Astyanax mexicanus: one gene and its partners. The protein of the gene in region 3 purifies or fractionates together with the protein of the main gene of each other region. This does not show direct contact. Links are inferred from orthologs where the notes say so. Each region holds a gene or a part of one and is shown on either strand. Other genes may lie near its edges.

Evidence for each region.
Region 1: the proteins of josd2 (region 3) and ahcyl1 purify together in Homo sapiens (affinity purification with mass spectrometry; 4 studies listed by BioGRID and IntAct, counting the BioPlex papers as one, with this or other methods). This does not show direct contact. The link is inferred for Astyanax mexicanus from reciprocal best matches to the Homo sapiens genes JOSD2 and AHCYL1.
Region 2: the proteins of josd2 (region 3) and ahcyl2b purify together in Homo sapiens (affinity purification with mass spectrometry; 3 studies listed by BioGRID and IntAct, counting the BioPlex papers as one, with this or other methods). This does not show direct contact. The link is inferred for Astyanax mexicanus from reciprocal best matches to the Homo sapiens genes JOSD2 and AHCYL2.

Annotation. Positions count from the first base shown.
Region 1 is NC_064419.1:41,595,178-41,603,277, forward strand, and holds the start of ahcyl1 (S-adenosylhomocysteine hydrolase-like protein 1), read right to left. Parts: upstream 3,347-8,100; 5' UTR 3,021-3,346; coding exon 2,835-3,020; intron 1-2,834. UniProt on the Homo sapiens protein: Multifaceted cellular regulator which coordinates several essential cellular functions including regulation of epithelial HCO3(-) and fluid secretion, mRNA processing and DNA replication.
Region 2 is NC_064409.1:14,490,745-14,499,596, forward strand, and holds the start of ahcyl2b (adenosylhomocysteinase like 2b), read left to right. Parts: upstream 1-5,082; 5' UTR 5,083-5,143; coding exon 5,144-5,464; intron 5,465-8,852. Other genes in the region: tmem209 (transmembrane protein 209), read left to right, coding at 1-95, 755-852, 955-1,028, 1,173-1,227. UniProt on the Homo sapiens protein: May regulate the electrogenic sodium/bicarbonate cotransporter SLC4A4 activity and Mg(2+)-sensitivity. On the contrary of its homolog AHCYL1, does not regulate ITPR1 sensitivity to inositol 1,4,5-trisphosphate.
Region 3 is NC_064413.1:7,914,496-7,923,142, reverse strand, and holds the start of josd2 (josephin-2), read right to left. Parts: upstream 3,706-8,647; 5' UTR 3,534-3,705; intron 1,799-3,533; 5' UTR 1,771-1,798; coding exon 1,649-1,770; intron 1,287-1,648; coding exon 1,161-1,286; intron 1-1,160. Other genes in the region: ube2s (ubiquitin-conjugating enzyme E2 S), read left to right, coding at 6,719-6,721. UniProt on the Homo sapiens protein: Cleaves 'Lys-63'-linked poly-ubiquitin chains, and with lesser efficiency 'Lys-48'-linked poly-ubiquitin chains (in vitro). May act as a deubiquitinating enzyme.

The DNA of each region.
Region 1 (8,100 bases), on a different chromosome or scaffold from region 3:
TCTGTAGGAGGTATTTTAAAGAGGCTGTAAAAAGATGTATTTTAAAGAGTGTTTTAAAGAGGCTGATTCCAAATATAAAAAAGAGCTGAACTTGGCGATTTAACACATATTACGATACAGTAGTTACAATTAAATACAGGGGTTGGACAATGAAACTGAAACAGCTGGTTTTAGACCACAATAATTTATTGTCCTGACGGACAGTTCTGGTGGAAACAGGAGAGTTGAGGTGCACATTGAGTTCTGCCGTGATTTGATCAGCCGTGGTTTTATATTTTTTGGATACAATCCGGGTTAGCACCCGAACATCCCTTTCAGACAGCTTCCTCTTACAGCGTCCACAGTTAATCCTGTTGGATGTGGTTGGTCCTTCTTGGTGGTATGCTGACATTATCCTTGATACCGTGGCTCCTGATGCATCAAAAAGACTTGCTGTCTTGGTCACAGATGCACCAGCAAGATGTGCACCAACAACTTGTCCTCTTTTGAACTCTGGTATGTCACCCATAATGTTATAGTGTGCATTGCAATATTTCGAACAGAACTGTGCTCTTACCCTGCTTATTAAACCTTCACACTCTGCTCTTACTGGTGCAATGTGCAATTAATGAACTAAAATGACAGGTGTTTCAGTTTTATTGTCCAACCCCTGTATATCACAATACTGTAACAATGTGACATACTGCAAAAAAAACCACAGCATCATATTTGCAAAATCTGAGTTTAAAAAATTCTCAATCAAAACAATGGGACCTAATGGGCCATCTCTATTTAAAAATAATTATTTAACACTGGATGTATTATTTTTGTTGCATTTCTGGACAAATTATTTGGTGTGAAATTCAGTGAATCCCTCGTTTTAAACAGAAAAGATCAGATCAGTATTGGCTGATCATGAAGAGTTCATTGACATCCCTGGAAGAGAAAATAAGCACCAACAACGTTTCTGTTTACAGTAGCCGTACACTCGCCCACAGTGATGCCCAGTCCTGCCCGTATCCCCCTCCCTATGAGCTTCACCTGTACACCTGTAGATCAGGACTGGGACTAAGCTAAACTCTGCAGGGTGGATGTGCCTCTGTGAGCAGGTTAGGCAGGCCTGTTATAGACGGACATTTCTGACATGCTGATCCCTCAGCTTATACTATACAGTTTTTTCTCTACCACTGTATATAGATCCCATCATTTCTAGCTACAGGCTTTTCCCAACAGCAAAGAACATTGAATACACAATATTTGTTTGGATGCATTGCATCTTTAAAGGTTGATGAGGGGGAAAAAACATTTAAACTAGATTTATTCAACATTGCCCAACAGGCATCGGTGGGTGTTGAAATTCTGACATTGAATCAACATTTATTGAAATGTTTAGAATGGTAGGTCTGAGGTCTGCTGCTCTTACATTAATGCTTTTACTGTAAAAAGGTTAAAAGTCCTTCACTGTAAGACCAACACAGTGTAGTCTATGAGAATAGTAGACAAATAAGATATATATATATATTTGGGATGAGAATTATACAAAAAAAAACTTTAATTTGGAAAACTATCCTGTAAACATCAGCAGCATTGTCCTGTATATATGCAGGATGATTTATGACAATTAAACATTTATGACAGGTTTGTGACATTAAAAGTATAAAAAATAACACATTGAATGACAAGAGGTGTCTCTGAAAGGTTTGACTGGGACTGTGTGAGTACCTGTGGAATAAGATTATAAAGGGTTCTGGTAAATAGCATGTTTAGTTATAAGTGTGCACACAGCAATAGTCAGCCTGTTGGAGTGTAGGATATAGTGAGTATGAGGGTTGGGGTGTAGTATAGAGAGTATGAGGGTTGGGGTGTAGTATAGTGCAAATAACGAGTATGGTTAATATGAGGGTTGCAGTCTAATATAGTTAGTATAAGGTTTGGGGTGTAGTACAGTGAGTATAGTGTAGTACAGTGAGTATGATGGTTAGGGTATATAGTAAGTATAGTGTAGTACATTGAGTATGATGAGGGGGTTGCAATATAGTGAGTATGGGGAGTATGAAGTTTGGGGTGTAATATAGCGAATATAGTGAGTAGCGTGTAGTACATTGAGTATGAGGGTTGGGGTGTTGTATAGTGAGTGCAGTGTAGTATAATGAGTACCGTGTAGTATAGTAGTGTAGTGTAGTGCAGTATAGTGAGCAGGATGGCGAGTGTCGTGTGTAGTATAGTGAGTGTAATGTTTAAGGAGTGTAGTATAGTGAGCAGGATAGGGAGTATAGAGTGTAGTATAGAGAGTATAATGTAGTATAGTGAGAAGGATGGGGAGTGCCGGCTGTAGTATAATGAGTATAGTGCAGTACAGTAAGTATAGTGAGCAGAATGGGGAGTGAAGTATAGTGTAGTATAGTGAGCAGGATGGGGAGTGTTAGATGTACTATAGTGAGTATAATGTAGTATAAGGATTGTAGTATAGTGAGCAGGATAGGGAGTGCAGTGTAGTGAGTATATTGTAGTATAGTGAGTACAGTGAGCAGGATGGGGAGTGTCAGGTGTAGTATAGTGAGTAAAACGTAGTATAAGGAGTGTAGTATAGTGAGCAGGATAGGAAGTGTAGAATGTAGTATAGAGGGTATCGTGAGCAGGATGGGGAGTGTAGTATAGTGAGTATAGTGTAGTATAGTGAGTAGAATGGGGGAGTGGGGCTGCTGGGTGAGGATGAAAGATGAATCTAGTTTACCTGTCCCGGTCTGACAGCAGCCCCAGCTATCAGAGCTTTACCCCGGTATTATCAGCTCGCTCCCCGGTACAGTAGTGTCAGTTAGCCAGTAGTGTCGGTTAGCCGGTAGCGGCTCTCTTACCTTCTTGACGGACTTGTGCGCGGGGACGGCGGTGAATGCGGCGGACAGCTCGCCCACGTTCATGTTCACATCGCTGTTCTTGGAGACGGTCATCGCGGAGTACTTCTCCGCCACGTTCTCGCTCTCCTTGAACTCCTTGCTCGCCTGCTTCACCTCCAGCTTCGCCTCCACGCCGGGTTCCGTCATGCTGAGCTCGCGGGTCTCTCCGGTTGGGCCGGGACTAGGACCGCTCGGTTCGCTAATGTTCCCGTAACCTTCCGTTTTGTCCTCTAGCTCCGCGCTCTGACCGAACTACCGCTTCCAGAGGAAGCGCGCGAGCTCCGGCCGAGAACACCACACACACACGGAGTGTCGCTGCGGAAGAGAAGCCGCGGTCTCGGTCTAAGCGCCGGTAGACGCGCTGCGGCGGTGCTGAGCTCGAGGTTACCGGCGGGGTTTCTCTCTCAGAGCGGAGCTGATCACAGATTATTACTCGCGGCTCTCCGGCTCCGGACAGGCAGGCAGCATCAGCAGTGGGCGGGGCTTACATACAAGCACCTGCACGCAGAGACCGGGGGGGCGGGGCGAGAGCGGCGGTCACGTGACCTTAAAAAAAATCATACTAAGCCAGACAGTGGAGCAGTTAGTACAGTAGTTTAGAGAGAAATGATGCAGAAAAGAGTTAGAGTCAGTTTAAAGGAATCAAACGTCTGAATAAACGATTCCTTGATTCACTCACTTGAGTCAAGTTTAGTTTTCAACTTTAGGCTGAGACTCAAAAGTGTAAAAAGAATTCACATTCATTCCTCTGAAGGTGAAAGTATAGATACTAGGTTTTAAATACATACTTGAAGTATGATCTCAAGCTTTTTACTCAAGAACAAGTGTAAAAGTACTGGATATAAAACTACTTAAAGTATAACAGTAAAAGTAATATAAGGGGAAAAAATGCTATTAAGAACAAAAGCTTAGGCCGCACCACAGGAGCCTATATACAGCTCTGTAAAACCTTAATGATGTTTTTCTTGATTTTACCAAGTTGAAAACCTCTGGAATATAATCAAGAGGAAGATCAAACCAAGCTGAACTGCTTGAATTTTTGGACCAGGAGTAAAGGCATAAAGTTATCCAAAAGCAGTGTGTAAGACTGGTGGAGGAGAAAATGCCAAGATGCATAAAAACTGTGAATAAAAACCAGGGTTATTCCACCAAATATTGATTTCTGAACTCTTAACTCTAGGAATATAAACATGTTTTCTTTGCATTTTTTGAGGTCCAAAAGCTCTGCTTCTTTTTTGTTATTTCATCAATTTCTCATTTTCTGCACATAAAAGCTCTAAATATAATATTTTTGGAATTTAGGAGAAATGTTGGCTGTGGTTTATAGAATAAAACAACAATTTTCATTTTACTCAAACATATACCTATAAATAGCAAAATGAGAGAAACTGATTTGGAAACTGAAGTGGTGTATATGTATACAGAATATTATGACCATCTCCTTGTTTCTACATCCATTTTCAATTTTGTCAGCTTCATTAAGCAATTAGAATCAATGTGGAGATTTAGTATCAGCCTGTAGTCCTGTAACTTTTTCTCTGCATATTTTTTTGTTTATTAGGCCACCAACCAAGTACCCAGCCAACAGCTCCCTGTGGGCAGTGTCCTGTGAGCAGCATCCTGTGATCACTGCTGAACTAGAGGATGACCAACACAAATTGTGAAGCAACAACAGATGAGTTTCTAGATTGCTAGATTGAACCAGTACAGCACAAACCTAAAACAAAACCATGCCAGTTTCACTGCAGTGCTGAATGCAGAATGACCCACCACCCAAATAGTAGCTGGTGTAGGATAATAAAATATGTAGAAAAAAATAAAGACTATAGTCTGACTCTAATTTAAAAAATTCATTTACCTTCTGAGAACTCTCCTCAGAGCTGGAACTGGACTGTGATTAAAACAGCTGATACTCAATAAACTGAACTGGATTGGGACATCCTTTGTTTAATATGTTTACGTATCGTTAAGAAAGTGATGACAGTAGGTAGTGCTATGATGAGACAAGTGGGAATGCCACGGTCCATTATCTCATTTGCTGTAGCATACACTTTTTTTCTATTTATAAATTATATTTAAAGTAAATTTTATCATTTTTTCTTTTGTTTAAATTATTTTTGCTATCTTTGTTTATATGTTTTGTTGACTGCAGGTTTTTATATTGTAATCTGTTGTATTTTATTCTTTCTACCTAGATATTTTGTACATTAGAATTTTAGCACTTCAAATTGTGTAGTTTAAAAGTTAAAAAATTTAGCTTAATAATATTGTGTGAGTAGACTGTCATTCCAAGCACTTCACTGCAGATCATACTGTGTATTACTATGTATGTCACAAATAAATTAAAAATTTGATATTTGGAAAACATCAGTGCAGACATGGAGAATAAAACCAAAAATCAACTAAAACTAAAATTATATATATATAAAAAAAAATTAACAATGTTAACACAATCTTCAAAATAATAAAATGTGCGTGGTGTCAGATCCTGAGAGCTCCATTGTGTAAAGCTAAATTACTGAATTAACTCTAAGCTGAGGTATTGGTTAGCTTAAAATAGCTTTTCTCAGTCGATAAATCTCAGTCACATTTGTGAATTGCAAATTTCCATAACCATTTACCAAAACTGTCTGGGTATTTTTGTATGTTTCCAAAACGTATTCAGGCCTAGAACTTGTTCTTTTCAAATGACTTTTCCAGGTTTTTCACGGCCCTACAAACCCTGCCTTAGACTTGTAACCGAAGTTTGGTGTAAAGTTACCATTCACACAATGCCTTTGGTCTCAAAAGGCACTGAAACAAACATATTCCTAACACAGAGCAGGAATGCAGTAGAGCAACAGAAACTAATATGAAGAAACTGGCAGCACATTAGGGCTCTAAAATCTCTGCTTTCACTCCACGGAGCTAAGAGGATTACAGGACAGACCTCAACTTCACAGAATTAAGATCATTTACAGCCTCAAACAGTACTACAAGCGCTCACACGGATTAGACAGGGAGAGGGGGGGGGGGGGGGGAAGCACGATCACACGAAATGTGGATGTTTGCCACTGACCGGACACAATTTAATCAAAATACAGCATGTTCAAAGACTTCAACGTCTAACGTAATTCCTCAAAAAAAGTATCTACATTTACCTGCCAGGGCAGAATTAGGGGAGAGGGATTAAAAAATGGCTGTTTCAAATAAGATGGGAAGACGTGTAGTGCAAAAAGACCATCGGCGACAGAGAACAATGGTAGATTTTGCGGTATGACAACTTTCCTCTAATTCATCTAAATTACAAATTCCATTAAGATTATCAAAATTTGAATGTAAAAAAGTGTTCATGTTACAAGCAATAAATGTACAAGGCTGTGGGCCAGAGGCAGAAAGAAGCCCCCACTTGGAGAACAGGGGGATGAATTGCAAAATTCCATGCTTTAACCCACCCCTCTTCATTCCCCTTTTCAACACATTCTTTCACTGAAGAAAAACAAAAAAAAAAAACACCAACTACACAGATCACACAATATACCAATACACTTTGGGTTATTATGCAACAAGAAAAAAACAACAACACAGTTTTGCACTAACTGGGTCACATGACTCGCTACCCTCACTACCCATCTTACTTTTTAAAACATTTTTTTTCTGGTTCATATGCAAAAGCGCCACATGACAAAAAAACAAGCAGGAGACAAAATTATGAATCTGAGTAACTTAAAATAATCTTTATACACTAACAACTAACCCCAGTACATTTGTTCTATGGTCAGTTCTGAAGAACATATCACAGATATCCAAGCCTGTGTTTTCCCGTTAGCCTTGTAGTTTAGCTTTTGTACAAACCGAATTATTGGCTAATCTCTGAAGGTAATGTAATGATGCTCCTTTTTGCTTGTCACTACTGGCACTGGTTAAAACCAGGATTAAATCCAGGCCCTCACTTATGGCTGAACGTGCAAAGAGGAGGCAAAAGACACTGGGCTGGAGCTGCATTAAGTAATGTCAGGTTCACACTACACGAGTTTCAGAGTCGTCAACTTGTAATGTTGTAATCGGCGACACAGAATCATGGATTACACAAGAGTCTCTCACCAAGAGGAACACACGGCAAAGGCAGCGTTCACACAGCAGGTAAATGTGGCACAAATCCGTGACAGACGTCACTTATGTGGCAGTGTGAATTAGAAGGCTAGTATCACAATCACTGTGTTTTTTAACATAAAAAATGGCCGAATGCAGTGAGAATGGAAAATAAACAGCTTAAAAGAAACCAAGGACACAAACCAAATCAAATTAATGTCCGTGGCTGAGTAATTTTTCTGAGTCCATTTTTCACAGTGAGATAAAATGCTGTATAGCTGCTGAGATTCTGTAAAAAGATGAAACCGAAACTTCACTTGAAGCGCTGTAATTTTGAGCATGCACTCAGTTTAGAAACATGAACTGCTTAAGCAAATGTCACATATGGGTCACCTTTAAAAGATTGCGTAAACAGCCTTTAATAAATATATTTATTTGCGACACTTTCACTTGCCTGCTGTGTGAACGTAGCCAAAAACATATGCAAAAACACTAAGCACTAAGGTGCTACCATATTCCAGATGTATACAATACAACATTGTCTGTGTGCTGATTTACAGCGAAAGCACGCTGAAATAAAACAAAAGAATATGAATAAGTACAAAAAAAAATAATGGATGAAGACTCGGCTTTCTCCTCACCCCGTGCTCTAGCAAGTCGTCCAGTTGCAACACTTTTCACAGTACCGAATTTAGAGTCGCCCACAGGTGCAGATTTTCAACCTGCTAGATATTTACTGTTCACTCGGATCATACCTTTCTTTTTAACCAGTTTACACACCGAAAAAAACGAGCAAACAACAAAGTGTTGTTTTAATGGAAGCCTCTAAATACAGTCGAATCAGGCCTAAAGTCGTGTAGTGTGAACAGGGCCTAAGTGCTGGTTTCACAATATGCACTGTATTTATTTTTTCTCCATTTTTGGGGGCTGGTTGTATTTCCAAGGGGCTTCTTCAGGAGTTATTCAGGAGGAAAGTGAAGAGGAGAAGGTGAAGGTCGTTCTTCAACCTGCTGCTACGAAACACGAATCATCTGGGCCACTGTCTCCTCTCCGCCCTGATTGTCCTCCGGCACCACCTACAGAAAAGAAGGGAGGAGGGGTGGGTGAGTAAGTGGGTGGATCAATGATTACACATGCTCACTCCCTATCTCATAAC
Region 2 (8,852 bases), on a different chromosome or scaffold from region 3:
CACATACCTGGACTCCAGACTTCCTCCGCACCCTAAGTACCCAGATGGGAAAACCTTCACATCACAGCATTTTATTCAGACACCACACAAACCAGGTAAGTCAGTCAGACAGACAAAGTCTGTCCAATGTTATGTTATGTATATATGGTGACAAAGGTATGATATTTTTGTGTGCTATAATGGTATCTTTGAGCTTTTTTGATTTTACCAAATAAAAAACACTGCAATATAATCAAGAGAAAGATGGATGATCACAAGCCATTAAACCAAGCTGAACTGCTGGCATTTTTGCACTAGGAGTGGCATAACATTATCCTAAAGCAGTGTGTAAGACTGGTGGAGGAGAACTTGCCAAGATGCATGAAAACTGTAGTTAAAAACCAGGGTTATTCCACCAAATATTGATTTCTGCACTCTTAAAACTTTATGAATATGAACTTGTTTTCTTTGCATTATTTAAGGGCTGAAAGTTCTTCGTCTGTTTTGTTATTTCTCATTTTCTGCAAATGAAAGCTCTGAATGACAGTATTTTTGTTTGAAGTTTGTAATAAATGTTTTCTGTAGTTTATAGAATAAAACAACAATGTTCATTTTACTCAAACATCAACAAAATCAGAGAAATTGAATGTCATTATACTTTTTTTTTTGTTTTCCAATCCCGGTATTAAGCAAATGTTCACAGTGTCATCAAAAACTGCTGACAGTCAAGTTACATTTTTTTTATTTAAGCCCACTTTGTGTGTGTTTTAAACAGATCTTTCCAACGAGAACCTCTTCTGCATTCACCAAAGCAGCACCAACCCACCCCACTATCAGCTTATCTATCAGGGCCACATCTACAGCCTGCCTAAGGTACAGTGTGTTCTTACTTTACCTCTCGCAGTGCCTGCAATTGCAGCCGAGGAGAATTACCTTCATTCCTCTGACTCATTTTTGGTGTGCCTTTGTGTACAGGGAAGAAATAACTTGTTCCACACGGTCCTCATGTTCCTTTTCATCATCAAAACCAAGGAGTCGGGGATGCTGGGGTGAGTGTGATTTAAGTCCTCTCTGTTGGCACTCAACGTGAGTTGAGTAACTTTCTCAGTGCTCAGAGTTGTGAAATGATCATGAATCTCACAGCGCAGGATGGAAAAGATTTATTTAGCATGTTTCTTAATTTTTCTTTGCAGGAGAGTCAATCTGGGCCTTTCTGGAGTGAATGTTCTTTGGATATTTGGGAACTAATCTCATCACAAGTTACAGCTGAAGTAACTGGAACACTGACGGGGTCACTTGAAGAGCAATATGTTGCACAAGTCTGCACAAGCCTTTTTTTACTATTATTATTTACTTGTAGAATTTGTAGTGACGTTGCATGCTTTAAGGGGACATGCACAGTGCTTTGGTTCTTTAACCAGGAACTTTATCCCAGCTGTAGCCCAGCGTGAGACACTGAATAATTTTAAGTTCTGGGAAGAATGTGGTTTTAAATAGCAACACTCTTTACAGAAAACTAGCAGGAGCTTAGATTACAGAGTGGGTCGACAGAGAAACAGTTCTGTTCTGCCTTTGTATATAATTCTGCATGTTGCAGAACTTTCTTTCGAATGTGTGTAAAGTGGTGTATTTTTTATATATAAATATGGGAATGTGAATTGTTTACTCAGGCTTTGGCTTTAGCTTGGTGTGCATTGTATATGCTGTGCTGCATTTTTAATATAAAGGTGCTTTAGACGTTTCATATGCATATGCTATTGAAGAACCACTTTTGGATTTATAAATATAGATCTAGGAGTTTTTACATTAAGTTCTTTAGATCTTTTAAGGGAACATGAAAAGTGGTTCTTCTCTGGCATTGCTCACAGTGCCATTAAAACATTGGTTACCAATCCTGCTCTTGGAGATCAACTGTCTGAAGTGACTGTTCACAAATTATTTGAATGTGAACAGATTGGATTTGTGTGTCATTTTTGACACTCTTGTTGAATCCCTGCACTTCTGTCGCTCTTGATATGATGAGCTTGTTGTGTATCGTGTTGTAAGTTAAGCAAAATACACTTTGGAATCTGATTTAAGTGTCGAGAGCATCCAGACTCAGATGCATCTGTACAAATCTGATTGTAATCAGGTTTACGAAAGTTAGATTTCATGTGATTTTTAGCAGTCTAGACTATCAAAAGAATTTGGATACAGTCTAGATATGCGAAAGATTGGATTTGAACTTGCAGTTTGAACATAGTCCCACACATATCCTATATAACTATTCGGGCTCTCCTGAGGCTGTAATTTAGAGTGATTGTGTGGAACTGGTTAGTTTAAGGTTGGACCTGAACTCTCCAGGAGAAAAGTTGGTGACCCCTGCATCAGACAAGCAATTATTTTTTTCAGACACTTTCTGTTTTTAATATTTTTGCTCATATCTTTTACTTAAACCTCATATTAAAAAGTGGAACCACTTGACCCCATTCTGAATGATTGCACCATCTTCATCAGCTAAAGCTCTTTCCAGAGCAAGCAGTCAGCCCTAAACACTAGCCTGGAGATTTTGTTCCCAAAGGAGGCAATTGGTTTGTTTACAAAAGTACCCAAGTAGCTAACCATAGTTTTCCACAGACAAGGGCTGTTGGAGTGGGTAATTATTTTAATAACACCAAAGCTTCTGTTGTTGTGCATGTGATTGTGGTTTGCAGCAGCGATGTACTGTATGTTTTACTTTGTGTAATTTTGCACATGTGCAGTAGATAAGACCTGTAGTTACTTTTTAAAGCAGTGCCAAATAATACATTGTGATGCTAAAAGCTCTATACCATTTACCTCTTTAGGTTAAGGGAGTAAACATCTTCAAATGTTTGTCACAGTCTCTTTCACAGCTGGATTGTTACATGGCAGAGCACTGTTTGCTGCTCTTCACTTTAGCAAAAGGGCTTTTGTAAACACTTATAGGGCAGTGTACGTCAATGTTTTTTCCAACATCACCTGCTAAAAAACTATTTGTATCTTCAGCTCTTTAGGAAAAGCACAGCAACATTTTGATCTGAAATGAACTGTAATAAATTAAACTTTTCACATTGTCCAATATTCCATTGTCCTTTATTGTGAACATTTTTGTTGGTGCTCACTCTATACCATTTGCATTCATGGGATTCATCTAATGCATAGCTTATTCATTTTATTCATAGCAATTTACTTTTAATTAATGTTAGAGAGAGAAGAATGTACAGTTTTTTTATTGGTGTAGTATGGTCAGGTAATTGAACCATAGTGTATCACACAAAATTCTGCACCAATAAATAAAATAGAATACCTGTCACACATTTTATAATATATTGTCATTTTTAATGTGTAGTCATACAAGTTTGCCCAAGGGTTTAATTGGTGTAGCCTGGTCTGGGAATTGAAAAGTCTGCCATGGGTAGTGTGGTGCAGCTGATCTGAGATCATTTACACTCCTCACTTTTATCTCTTAAGAGAATTTATTGTTTTTGCATTACCAATATGTTTATCATGCTCTGTGATCTTGTGCAAAGAAATTAGGAAAAATAATGTCGGCATTTACTTCAGCAAAAAAAACATACTGTACTAAAGAAATTGGTGCATTGGTCGACCCTCATTCTGTGTCGTTCTAGGTTAGAAGCATGAATATTTTCTGTAATGCTGCGGGGTTGTTAGACTGCATTAATGTGTGTGCGTTTCTCCACTGGATGGCAGTATATTGTTCAGGAATACTTCACTCAGTGATCCATGTTAATGGCATTTTCTAGTGCTTTATATAAATAATATTTCTCCCATTTGACTTATGTTATTTAGTGGTTTTGAGACATTTTAAAGGTTACTGTGGGTATTTGTGCAATATGTGTCATATCTTGTTCTAACATTCCAGTTCTACATAGATTTTGGTTGCAATTGTGTTACAAAAAGGACAGCATAGAAAATTACAGCATCCTAAAAAGGTAAGACACAAAACATTTGTGATTGTGAAGATCAGTGTATAATTGCGTGTAAGTATGTGATCTCTTTTTAATTTGTGGTTATTTGAAATAAACAGATACATAGATAGATCATATTGATCAATTTAGGAGGGATTATTATAGTACACACAAAGAATAGAACAAAAATATAATAAAGTGAAATGTTTCAGCAAAAGAGGTATTGCACATAATTATTGCACTTTGTGTAATATTATTGCACATAGTCTGGTTTATGTTATGATCGGTCTACTGCTCCTTCCCATCTGTTCTCTTGTCCTACAGTCCAGTGGCTTTAGGGACAAAGAAGGTTTTTTTTTTTTTTTTATCACAGTAATCCTATTCAAGTTTTACAGATTGTACGTACTCTAGTAGAAAAGAATGTTTCCTTTATTTAAACCAGACTATCACATTAATAAAATGTTCCTTTGTTTAATAAATCATTCCCTTGTTTTAGTTAAAGTGTCCCTCTAAATTGGATGAACTAATTATCACATTTTTGTTCAGTAGAGTGAATTATTTCTTCCAGTAAGTGAAGTATTGTGTCTGGCTAAATATTACAGCTCTGGAAAAAAATAAGTGACCACTTAAAAGTGATGAGTTTCTGTGATTTTACCAAATTGAAAACCTCTGGGATATAAGCAGTGTGTAAGACTGGTGGAGGAGAACATGCCAAGATGCATGAAAACTGTGATTAAAAACCCAGGGTATTCCACTAAATGTTTCTAAACTCTTAAATCTTTATGAAAATGAACTTTGTTTTCTTTGCATTATTTGAGGTCTGAAAGCTAAATGACAACATTTTTATTTGGAATTTAGGATGAATGTTGTCCGTAGTCTATAGAATAAAAAAACAATGTTCATTTTACTCAAACATATACCTATAAATAGCACATGGTGTATAGTACTCTGGTGTACTGAATTGACAACATTGCTGGTTTATATATAAGGTGTTAGCCTTTCTTTTTATTCTAAATACCACTTGATGAGAAACAATTAAACTGTTTATTTATTTTAGTATAAATAAAAAAAATATTCTGTGGTGAATTATCGTGAGGAACCAGAGTGAGAGTTTTGCGAGTGAGAGTCGGTGAAGACTACATGTCCCACAGTGCTGTGCGGTTAATCTCTCAGCCAGTGGTGTCGGCTCGTGAGTCTCTTCGCTGTGCTGAGTGAGAAAGGACTGGATTGCAGCGATGTCAGTTCAGGTTGTAGCAGCGAAAATGGCCGAGGTCGAATTAAAAGACGTCCCGAATAAAGAGCTGAGCGCCGTGTCGCCGCGGACACCCATAGCCGAGGAGAAGGGTTTGTCTAACAGCGAGCTGAACGCCTCGGCTCCGTCCCCCACAGCGGACACCGCGGTGGTGAAGGGGGACCCGAGTCCGCTCAGCTCGACGCCGAACGCAGTGAAGATGCCCCAGGCGTCCGCGATGAAGCGGCCGGACCCGCAGCAGAACGGCGGAGAGGCGTTCGTTAACCGGGATGGCACGGTGGCGGAGGCTCCCCGGATGAAAAAGGTACGGCGGACATGTTTTTAGTTATATGTCAAGAGTTTATTTTATTTAAAACGGGACCTGTGGGGAAACATCCTGGCGTGTTGGTTAGGTTAGCTTGCCGAGCTAGCGCTAGCTATGTCATTGTGTGTGTGGAGACCACTGGCGTTAGTTTAGTAGTTAGCATGGATAGCTAACGGTCTGAATTAAAGGGCTGTCTGTCACCTTGCCAGGATTCAGACTCACTTGCTTTATTTAGTGTGTTTGACAACAGGGAACAGATGCGGAATAATTAACCTAACTAGCTAAATACCGAGTTTTTGGTCATTTAATAAAGGTGGCCAATTTAATAACGTAGTCCGCAGTGCGTTGTCGTGGCGCTGTGTGTTACATTACGTGTAAGGTAGGTTGACTAACGCAATAGCTTAGCGTTAGAGCTAGCTAGCTATATTTTTTGCTTTTGTATACGAACTAAATAATTATTATTTTTACTAAGGTATGACTTAAATTAGGTTTAAATAATTAGCTCTGGTGCGTGTCCACAATATTAAGTTTGTTATAACGCTCCTGAAGGTAAAATAACTTAACTTAACGTTTGCTAACCTAACGTTAGGTTATCTAGGTTATAACAGGAACCAGTCCTGAAAAACCTAGAAAAGTAATTTAATTTGAAAATAGCAAGTTCCAGGCCTGGATAAGCTTTGGAAAAATTATAATAGTTTTGGTAAAGTCATGGAAATGTACAGTCTGCAAATATAACGACTGAGAAAAGCTATTTTGAGCTAACAAATACATCAGCTCAGATTTAGTTCAGTAATATAGCCCTTTACAATGGCGATCTCACGATCTAACATATTTTATTATTGAAGATCGTGTCAACATTGCTTAAAGTTTTTTTTTATCTTTATAGTTTTAGTGTTTTTTGTTTTGTTTTATTGTCCATGTCTGCGCTGATGTTTTAACGTATTGTCATGAAAATTTGCCATGAAGACATGGAAAAAGTAGTGGAAATTTATTTGTCACAAAATGTATGAAGCCAGTTATAATAATTAAGTGAGAATTGATAGAAAAGATATCCTAATTAGCTAGCTCAAATAAGCTGAATTAAAGCTGATTTAAAGCCCGGTACCCTGGTTCTAATAATACCTGTGCGATGCAGTAGCCTCGTAATTTATAGCTGGCTTCATACAAGCTACATAAAGGTAGCAAATAAAGTTTCAACTAACGATTTTTTTGGTAGTCCACTAATCTGACGATTTTTTTTTATTATTATTCAACGATTATTTGTAATGCCCTCCATACCTATCTGCTTCCTGTTTTTGATTCATCTTGCTGTTTTATTCTCTGCCTTCACATAAATAAACATAGCATAGCATACATTCTAACATCAAACTAAATTGACACATTAAACACAAATATAAAGTGATAACATAATCAGATTGATTTTTTTTTATTTAATAACATCATGTTATCACAATAACAATGAAATAAATGAATTCAAAAAGCAACCTCTGCCCTAGCAGTAAGCTGTAGACACCTAAGTCATAAAGCTATGTAATGCAGTTTATCACAGGCTGGCTATGGTCAATTTTCTCATTACAAATTAACAAATAATTGACAATGAAATTTTTAGTCAGCAAATTATTACGATTATGCTAGCTTTTTGTTGTGCCAGGTTTGCTTCAGCCACTGACAGCCCTGATTTTTGCTTCTTTGTGGCCTTAAGCAACCATCTGCATCTCAAGCCATTCATAAATATATGTAATTACCAGCTATTATTTAGATTCATTTAGATACTGTATTAAAGTGTAAGTACAGTAGACTTCTTTAATAAAAGAATGCACTCCTGGCTTCTTAGCATGCAAGGCAGCAAGTGGCATCTGTACTCATCATCCATTGCATGGCTTACCATGGGGGAATCTTTAGCATCAGCCTACACACTGTTACAGCAAGGTCATTCAGATCGTTCTTGGGAACTGCTGGAACATTCAGTCTCCTCATCACTGTTTATGAGGGAGGGAAAAAAGCATAGAGACAGGAGGATGTTCCTTAGCTTGCTTACAGAGTACATCTTGTGAAATGTTCGCTCCTCCAGGCAGAGCAGCATTCATCCCTCAGATCTCACTGGAGGAAATTGTGTTCTGAAAAGCATTTCAGGTATTTTACTATTCGGAACATCTCATTTCTAAAACAGCAAATCCGTCCTGCTCCACCATTTTGTGCCAGTGATGCTGAGTCATTCCTAGCTGGTGACCACCAGCCATCCATAAAGCACAGCAGGGGCATAAGCACAGCATAAGCTGTGACCCTGCTGAATTTGTAACCTCTCTATCATAAGCTTTAAGCAGCCAGGGAGAAGACCATGTACTTAATGGAATTTTCACCCTGCTGGCTTTCCCTGCTGGGCTGCTCAAGGGAGTGTCTGTAACTGGGATGTGTGTTCAGATGCACAACTCTAGAAATATATTTCTGTGCAAATGCGTACTTATATGTCCTGCTACACTTGGTTGGCACTAGGTATGCACCTGCTTAGAAACTATTATTATTATTTTTATTATTCTGATTTGTTAAGAATCGTATATACATATTTTCCCCTTACTTGATCACACTGACATCTTTATTAAAAACGTTTTGTGAGGCTGGATTTTCCTGTATTAGCATTATAGAAATGGTGCATGTGATTAACAGTACTGCCTTCCCTGAGACAGATAATGGTCTTTTTTTATTCCTTATAAATTCTCTTTCTTATATTTTCGTATAATGCTTATGCTGGACTACAGTTTTCTGTAGCATGGATATGAGTATGGATATTTGCAGATTCCTTTCTCCATAGGAATGAATTGGATACAGCATTGTGGCACTTTGGAGTATAATGCTGATATAATACCCAAAGACCCAGCCATTCATATAGGGGGTACAACAGCCACTACCTGGGACACCACAGCAACCACTCTAGATGCACCAACTACAACAATCAGCTTGCCATGCTGTAGCATCCATCTAGCATCTGTTTTGCAACACCATGTCAACCACCTGATATACTGTATCACCTAGCTTACAACCATTTAGCAACAGCTGTGGTGACAGTCACCACCTCTAATACCATAGCACCCATACTGCAACCAATTAGCAACACCCTAGATACTTTCTGGAATTACGTAAGCAGCACAACCATTATTTCAACTTTTCTAGTTTCATAAATGTGTACGTCTTATTCGATATTTTTCAAACTGTCATTTAATACCAGTCCTGGTACACCTGCTCTGTCTACCATTGTGCTAAATAATGATGGGAGATTAGCACTAGCTGGAAACTATTCCAGCCACTCAAAGTGACAAAATCCAGTAATTCTTACATGGATGACCTGTGATCTCCTAAATGGCTGAGCAGTTATTGCGATGTAATCACACAT
Region 3 (8,647 bases):
GAAATAAAATGGTGTCCTTTTTGGTAAAACTTAAAAAATAGAAAACAAGTCCAATATGCTATTAAGTAAAGACTTTTCCACATTGGGATTCAATTGCAAAACAAAGCTTTTAAATAAAGTGCCAGTGTTCTATAAAAAGAATATGTATAAAATCATAAACTGTAGTGCATACAGAACCTCGTACATGGTTGGAAGATGTTTTAGGGACAATTGCTTGTTTTACTGTGGATGGTGTGCTGCTGCTGCTGCGTTCATTCCTTTGGGAGCAGCACTTCTCCCACTCCGCTTCTGTTTAAGGTGTAGAGATAAATTTGTTGCGCTGCTATGTTTAGAAGCAATTGGTTTAAACGCACCTTACAGCGAGAACCTGTTTGGTCTATGTCCGATGCCGCAAAAACCTAAACAAAAGCTCCGCCGTCATGTTGCGTGTGTTGTGTGGGTTGCTCGCAGGAGGGAGGGAGAGAGAGGCGGGGGTGCGCGGGAGGGGCGGGGCTAAGCTCAGTCTAAAGTACGGGCCCCACAGGGGAGCGTCAGTGGTGAAAATTAAAACTCAGAGAAAATCGATTTTTATAAAAACACAGCGTCCTTAACCGTAAATTCGAATTAACCGATAAAATCGATTCATCGCCCAGCTCTACCTGGGCTTAAAACGAAACCTTACTCCAAGACAATTCTGCTATCTATCGTTTGTTAATACTACGGAGAGTAAAGTTTGGGTAACACTTTATTTTACATTATGATAAGTACTGTGTATTTAATAGGTAAATAAGATAAGGCTACTGATTTCACGTATTTACTAAGTCAATAGTGAACACCACTTAAACTACCAGGTACCGTGTTGTGAAAATGCCCCCTTACAGATTCATTTTGTTTTAGCTTTTTTAATCATATTACCTTTTCAGGATTTACAGGTAGAAAGCATAATTCGTGGTTCCATAAATTACAGTAATTTTTTAAAGAGCCAGAAGCAGCAAATCAGCCCAAAGACCATGATACTACCACCAACATGTTTGACTTTTTTAAAATTATGTGTTTTGAGCCAAATGGGACCAACGGGCCTGTGGTAATCAGGCGTACACCACAGACGCAGGCAGCATGTGTCTATTACAGATCACTATGCTTGATTTACGTGGTATTTGGTAAATGATTGATAAACTGACCTTCGCTTGTCCCACCACACTGCGGCCAGTCCCCGGCTCTGGAGCGCTGCCATAATCACGTTCACATCATAGTTCCCTGTCCCCAACACCGAGCGGTGCGGGTTCACCACACACTGCGGGGCGAGGCTGAAAAACACAAACAATATAACATCTTGTCTATCCAAAACTGTGTCCTAGGTGCTATGGGGCTAAGTGCTTGCTAAATGAGTGCTATAGATATCTTCTCTTCTAACAGCTTTTTTATTTATTTTATTTTTAAAAATGCAATATTTTCCATTAATAAAATTGTTTAAGCTTTAACTATAACAAAGTTTCGTTCTATCAGAAGAATAAATATAATATAATAATAATAATAATAATAATAATAATAATAATATAAAAAAGGGTATCGCGATATTTAGTTTCCTTCTAAAATACATTGCAATTTTTAAACAAATTTCTCCAGAAGTCTACAGGTGAGTAAGAGTGAAGAGGCTGGGTATTCTCACCGCTTGCAGATCTCATCCGCCGTCTCTTTAGTGAAAACTCTCTCCTGCAGTACGTTGTTTAATGCGTGGATGGCGCACAGCTCCAACCTCTGCTTCTCATGAAACACCTCCACCTCGCTCATTCTCCCTCACACACAGGCAGCTGACCACCTACACACACACACACACACACACACACACATCATTACAGCAGTGTTAACAATTAGTCAACATAATAGACAAATGCTAATTATTACATTTTAACGAATAATCCTTAAGTAGTCCAGCCTGTATTGCTCTTTACTCAAATGTATTAATATTTATTATTAATATTTCATAATAAAAGTGCAGATAAAAGCCTGAGCCAGTAAACTATCTGTGATAAATTGAAAAGGGTCTGGTCTCAGACCCTAGCTTGCTTTCGCACTGTCTCTTGCTAACACGCTGTCTCCCGCCTCTCCTAACCTGAGATATTAAAGTACAGTAAAAAGCTCTAGTCTGCCTGACCTAAACCATACTGCACTATTATTACACCCCCTCTCAAAAATACAGGGAACTAGAGCATTAAAAAATATTATAATTTTTTCTAAGTGATTGACATCACAAATATAAATTAATTTGTCAATGTAATGCTGAAATTTTTCCTCTTCTAAAACTTCTTAAAAGTGAAATGCACACAGCAATATGCGTAAGAACAATAATTGATAAAGTGCCACAAAAATGCTATGTAATAATAATGATTGTTTTCTTTGGTTACAATTTAGAAAAAAAAACGTATCGAAAAAAGTATTGTCTGGGAATAGCTACTGGTATCGACAATTTTAAAAACGATACCCAGCTCTAATTACTATCATTATTATTATTATTATTATTACTATTATTATAAGAGAGGAAAACGCAGACCTCGATTAATATATATTTATATTACAAAATACATGTATTTAAATTTTAGTTCTGCCAGTTAAGATTCTTAGTGCTTATAATTTAAAGGGCCTTTTTTCTCCTAATAAGAACAGCGGCGGATCTTAGCTGACTAGTTTGGGTTCCAAATGTCCGCCTCTACTTCTAAGATAATGGAGGTGGTAAATTTCCCAGCTATGGATAGTTAACCTTACTGAAGCTCAGTGATTACCTGTTCAGCAGAAACATAGTCATCTAAATCATTTTCATGCAGTACACTGTTTGGGTGCTGTTGTGTTGTATACCTGGCAACCCGGAGTGTGGAAATAGGTATGGGGGAATTCAGAGACTAAAACCCACACAGAATACCATAAAATACTGTATAAATCAAATAAGAACATACTGGTTGAAGCTGTCATTGGCTGCCATTGCCAAAACTCAGTATGTTTCATCAATATCTGAGGACACATTCTGGTCATGTTATGAGATATTACTGAATACATAAATCGCTAATGGTCCTTTAAATATAATGTCACAAGACAAGCCTCCATTAAATTAAATGATGGGGAGGGATTTGGGTCAACAACCTAAATAATCGGCAGATTAATCGACTAGCTACCAAAAACATATATTAGTTACAGTCATAGTTTACAATTAAAGTAAGTTAGAAACACTAAAATGGGTTTAGTTTATCATTCGAAGTTTCCGTTCCGCCTTAAACGCAGCATTGCTTATAATATAATTTAAGGTGGAACTGACTAATTCAAACATGATTATAGTGGAAAAAAGCCAACGTTTACGTCGTTTTCTCGAAAAAACAATCAAGGACTTATTCACACTCAGACACACTCATTTTTAACACACTCTCTCTACTAATATTTAGCGTTTATTATTATTTAATAACACAAAAATAAATATCACCCAATCAACAGCAGCACTCAGTGAAACACACACGCCCCTAGTTAGTTAACTTTAGCTAAGATAGTTAGCCGTTAACTGTCCTTACCTTTAACTGTGAATCCTTACGAGTTAAAACGACGTTTAGCCGATATCTCAGGAGTTCATAAATAAAATATAATCTTATAAAAACGCTTCATTTACATCTAAACCGACAGCCCTCAGTGAGGTGATGCTACTGAGTGTTAGCATTTAGCTGAGAGCCGAGCGAGTGTAAGTGTCCTGTCAAATAGTGCTACCCACCTGTATGTGCTACTTTGCCGTTATGCGCATGCGCAGATTCAGACGTTTCGAACCTTTTCATGTGATTTTCATGATAATTCTGTTTTTCTTGTGTGAATTTTACACTTTTAGCGGATTATTATTGTTATTATATGCTTGAGTGTTACAAAAGAGTAACTCGCAATTTATAACAGTAACACAAAAAAAATTAGTAGTAAAAAAAATCTTATCAGATTTTAACATGTCTCTATTTTTGCTAAATATCTTCTGCTATCGATATTCTATACTTCTGTTTAATTGATATATATATATATATATATATATATATATATATATATATATATATATATATATATATATATATATATATGATGCTTTTGGCCTATAGAAAGATCCTACCTGCTTCTATTTGGGGCAGGTTTTGGTACCTGAACATAAAATCGACAGAACACCGGAAGAAGCGCTATTGTTGTTGTTGACGCCCTGAACTGTGACGATATTTTCTTAAAGCAACATAAATTATTATTGCTGAAAAAAGAATATTGCTGGGAAATAATATTATTCACGTAGAAAAATCTGAATCTGAAATTTGAAAATATACATAAAATCTATATAGTATATAGTATATATGAAGAATATAAAAAAGTCTTGAATAACCAAAATTAATACTGTCTGTCTATGATTAAAGTTATTATTAAATATTGCTATAGAAAAAATGATAAAAATGGTAAAAGTTCTTTTATTTCCTCGTTTTATTTGTTTACATTTATATGGGCTACAGTAATGTAAAGATTAGACAACTAAACAAAATAAAAAAATATAATGTATAAGTAAATAAATAAGTTTATACTGGAATATGACATATTTCTAAGTTCTAGACAAAGTTAACAAAAAATACTGCATTTTACTACATTTATAATACTACAAAACTCAAATTTAATATATACTAGCTCAGGATATTCCTGAGTATTTCTGCTAAAAATAAAGAAAGCCTACCCATGTATTTCCATTTTTCTTCTACGACAAAGGTTTTTAGATAACAGATTTGCTAGCATTTCTCACTGTAACTGATTGATTGTTGCTCTGATGCTGATGTGTTCTACAGCCAGAACACATTTCTTAAAAGTCATATAAGTGGAGTTTTAAAGCTTTTAAATGTATGTCTACAGTACTGAAGAATTTGGTATTGTTCCATATTGATGGAATTAGAAAAGATGGGTATTCTGTGTCCTTACTGATGATAATACTCTATTGTAAAGAACATCTAATGACTTTTGATGCTGGTCAATAATTCTCCCTGACAGGCTGACTTACATGTTTCCCAATATTATATTATTAATCACAAACACCTTCAGTTTCCCAATCAGATAGAATCTCAGACTGGCTTTTTACTCTCCTCAGAATAGATACACAGTGTAAGTGGTGGGACTGTAGTTCACAGAACACACAACCTTTATCCTCTAATCTTAAGGTAAACAGAGCATTCTGAGAGCAGGCTGAAGCACTGTGTATATTGGAGCGCCATCTAGAGGACTGAATAGACTGGCCACAGCCCTCACTAAACACAGATCTGCTAAAGGATGAAAAAATTAAACAAGCATAGGAATCTGAGATACTTTGACAAAAAACAAATTGTGATGTTCAAGACCAGATTAGACAATATAAAAAATAGACAAAAGAGGGCCACCGTACCAGTCCCTGTTTCTACCAAATAATTCAGAATTTTTCTAAACATTTTATCCAGAACACGAAAAATCAAAAACATCCATCACTCAACTCTGTCACATTCAACCCAGTCACACTCAACCCAGTCACATTCAACCCCATCACACTCAAACCTGTCACATTCCATTCTATAATATTCAATCTGGTCACATTCAACTATTTTATACTCAACTCTGTCACACTCAGCTCCTTAACCCTGTCACATTTAACCCCATCACATTCAGTCCTGTCACACTGGGAACGCTCACAGATGCGGGGCAGTGGTGTGTGCCCACACTCAATAAATATATATATATATATATGTGTGTAAGTATATATGTATGTAAGTATGCAGGTGTGTAGGTAGGTAGAGAAAACTCATTGCATTTATTTAATTAATTACTATGAATCATTAAGCAGCATTAATAAATCAGTATTTTACAGAGACTGTCACAAAAACAACCTCAAAAAAGAACCCTAATTTTTCTATAAAAGATATAAAACATCACATAAACTTTATACGTTTAAAGAGTTTTTTTATGTATTGAAAGAAAGTTATATTTGCATGCTTAGCCTCGCCCCTGCTGTGTGTGGGCGGGTCTGAGTTATTCAAACTGGCCAATCGCAGAGGAGCATTTTTCACATTCTACGGTCCAGCTGGACTGCGTGGTCGCTGAGAGCGGCGACGTCACTCCTTGCGTGTGCTGTGATTGGTTGAACGGCTGCGGTGGCTTTTGCAGGCAGGTTTTATTGCCGGAGCTGATTGGCGGAGCGGCCGTGCTCTCTCTGTTCGTATTTTTGTTCCTGTGTCAAAAGCAGAGAACTGTTAGCTCGCCAAGAAGAAGTCAGAACCGGTTTCTGATGCGAGTAAGGCAACGACACCGCTGCAGTCTCCTGCGTTTCTTTTATTTCAGTTTATTTAGTTTATTTTAACCGGGTTTGGGGACCGGTAACTCCAGCAGAGACGAGAAACTAGCGGAGTTAGCATTAGCGCTCTGGCTAATCGCTTCCAATAGAGCAGACTGATCTGACTCCAGGCTCCGGCTGAGCTAACGCAGAGTTTAGTGGCGCTGAAACCGAAAACAGTCTCATATTCGGTTTAATTCGATTTTAAATTGTCGTTCGTTTCTTTCTTGAAGTTATAGCTAGCTCCTTAGCTAGGTGTTTGCTCTAGTAGGTGTCAGAGTGTTGAGATAAGCTAGTAAGCTAGCTAGGTTAGCTTAGCTACATCGTTAGCCTGCTCGCTCAGTTTATAGCAAGGCTCAGTTTCCTAACGTTGTTAACTACAGTTCCATCTCTAAAGACAAAATGGTAAGTTATTCCACCTTAAATACTCCTTTTCTGATAAAATACATCAAAAATATTTGTCTAACACATTCGGCGTGGAGCCAACACCAACCTAAGTTAACTAGGTTGGTGTTGGCTAGTAAAAGCGCTTCTGATTTCTTTTAAATTGTTCGTTCCACCTTAAATGTCTTAGCAATTAACTAGTGTGTCTAGCTGAACCCTGTCACCTCATTTAAGGAAGCGTCAGTACTAATAAGAAGCTAACCTAGCAGTCGTGGCTAAATAAGTTTTTAATATTTTTTTATATTCCCCTTAAATTCCTTAGCAGTTTAGCTAGCTGAACTATATTAGTTTAGCTGGCTGGTTTCTGGCACCTCATTTAAGGTGGAATGGTCAGTACCTATAAGAAGCTAACCTAGCAGCCGTGGCTAGGCTAACCTTCAAGGCTTGACGATACAATTGACTGATTTTAACCTAGCTGTTTTTTCGATTAAATTCCAAAAGTAATCTAATTTTGTAGCCTAGCTAGCTATTCAAGACCACTAGCTATATCCATTTTTTGTATTTAAATTTCATAACAATATAACATATGTTTAGGGTAATACAATTAATATTTTTATTTGTTAGACTAAGGCGATAATTTTGTGTTTAGAGATACAATTCCATCCAGTATTAATAATTAGTGTGAAAACATAATATAAAACTTAAGTCTGAAAAGTAGGGATCCACCAATATGGAATTTCTGAGCTGATACTGATTCAATATTACACGTACATATCTGCCGATATACACGTTGAACTTGTAGCAAGAATTCACATACTGGTATAAATTCGTAACTTTTAGAATTAATAACAGAGATTGGCTGAACTTAATGTATTTTAAAATAGCAGCGTGTCTATCAACTGAAGTTATGTTTGTCACTATAATTACTTTATTGAGTTATCCAACAATAAGTGAACACAACCTTAACAATATATGATACTCTTGATTATTGTTTGTTTGTATGATAATTGACAGTTAACATTTTTTAGCCAGTCATGCAATGACCAATGCTTTAATAACTGACTTTATACACACAGTGCAAACTGCAGGAGATGAAAAATAAAGGATTAATTTTACCAAACTATGATTAATTAAAATGTTGTCTTAAAATGAGTATAATGTATTTGTTATGCTAATAGATTATCATTGTCAGTGCCATTGTGTTAAAATGACAACTTGTTTATTGCTATAATTTATGGGACAATATATTGTCCACAAACAATTTATTGATATCATTGTTCATTCCTACTTACTAGTGTTCTGTATACCACCAAAAGATATAAAGACCCACCCTTTTAATTCTAGGCAGCCTGATTTATTATTGAGTCCCTTAATACAATATATATTTGGAATTCAATTGTTATCATGCAGCATCAAATGGGCTGTCTTCTGCCTTTTTGTGTGTGTTTCACACCTGTCTTGTTTGGTCCAGACTGCAGGTGTAAAAGGGGTTGTGAACCACGGTCCAGTCCAAAGGACCAGAGTTTGGTCAGACTTAAAGAGGTGCTCTCATTCTGCATCTACTGGTTCATCTGCATCTGTGTGAAACACTTATCTAGATAGATCAACTTTTTTGGATCTTTTACAGGAAATTGAGTCAGTCTTTAAACCAACCAGAGGAAAAAGAGCTGGTGTCATGCCGAAACCTCATTCCCTTTGCGCTCAGGCGCATCAAGCAGCAGTATAGGCGCAAATGCTTGGACTGAATTTATTTAATTAATGTAACAATAGATTTATCCTTATTTATAAACAAAAATAAAGGAGTTTGCTGATAATCTTTTTCATCCGTTCTGCTGTGGCAGGCATCCTTATGTAAGGGGAAGTCTGATTCTGACAGAGCTAGAATTCGTCACAACATAAACCTTAGTGTTAGAACGCCATTTTTTAAAATGTATGTGTTTTAATATA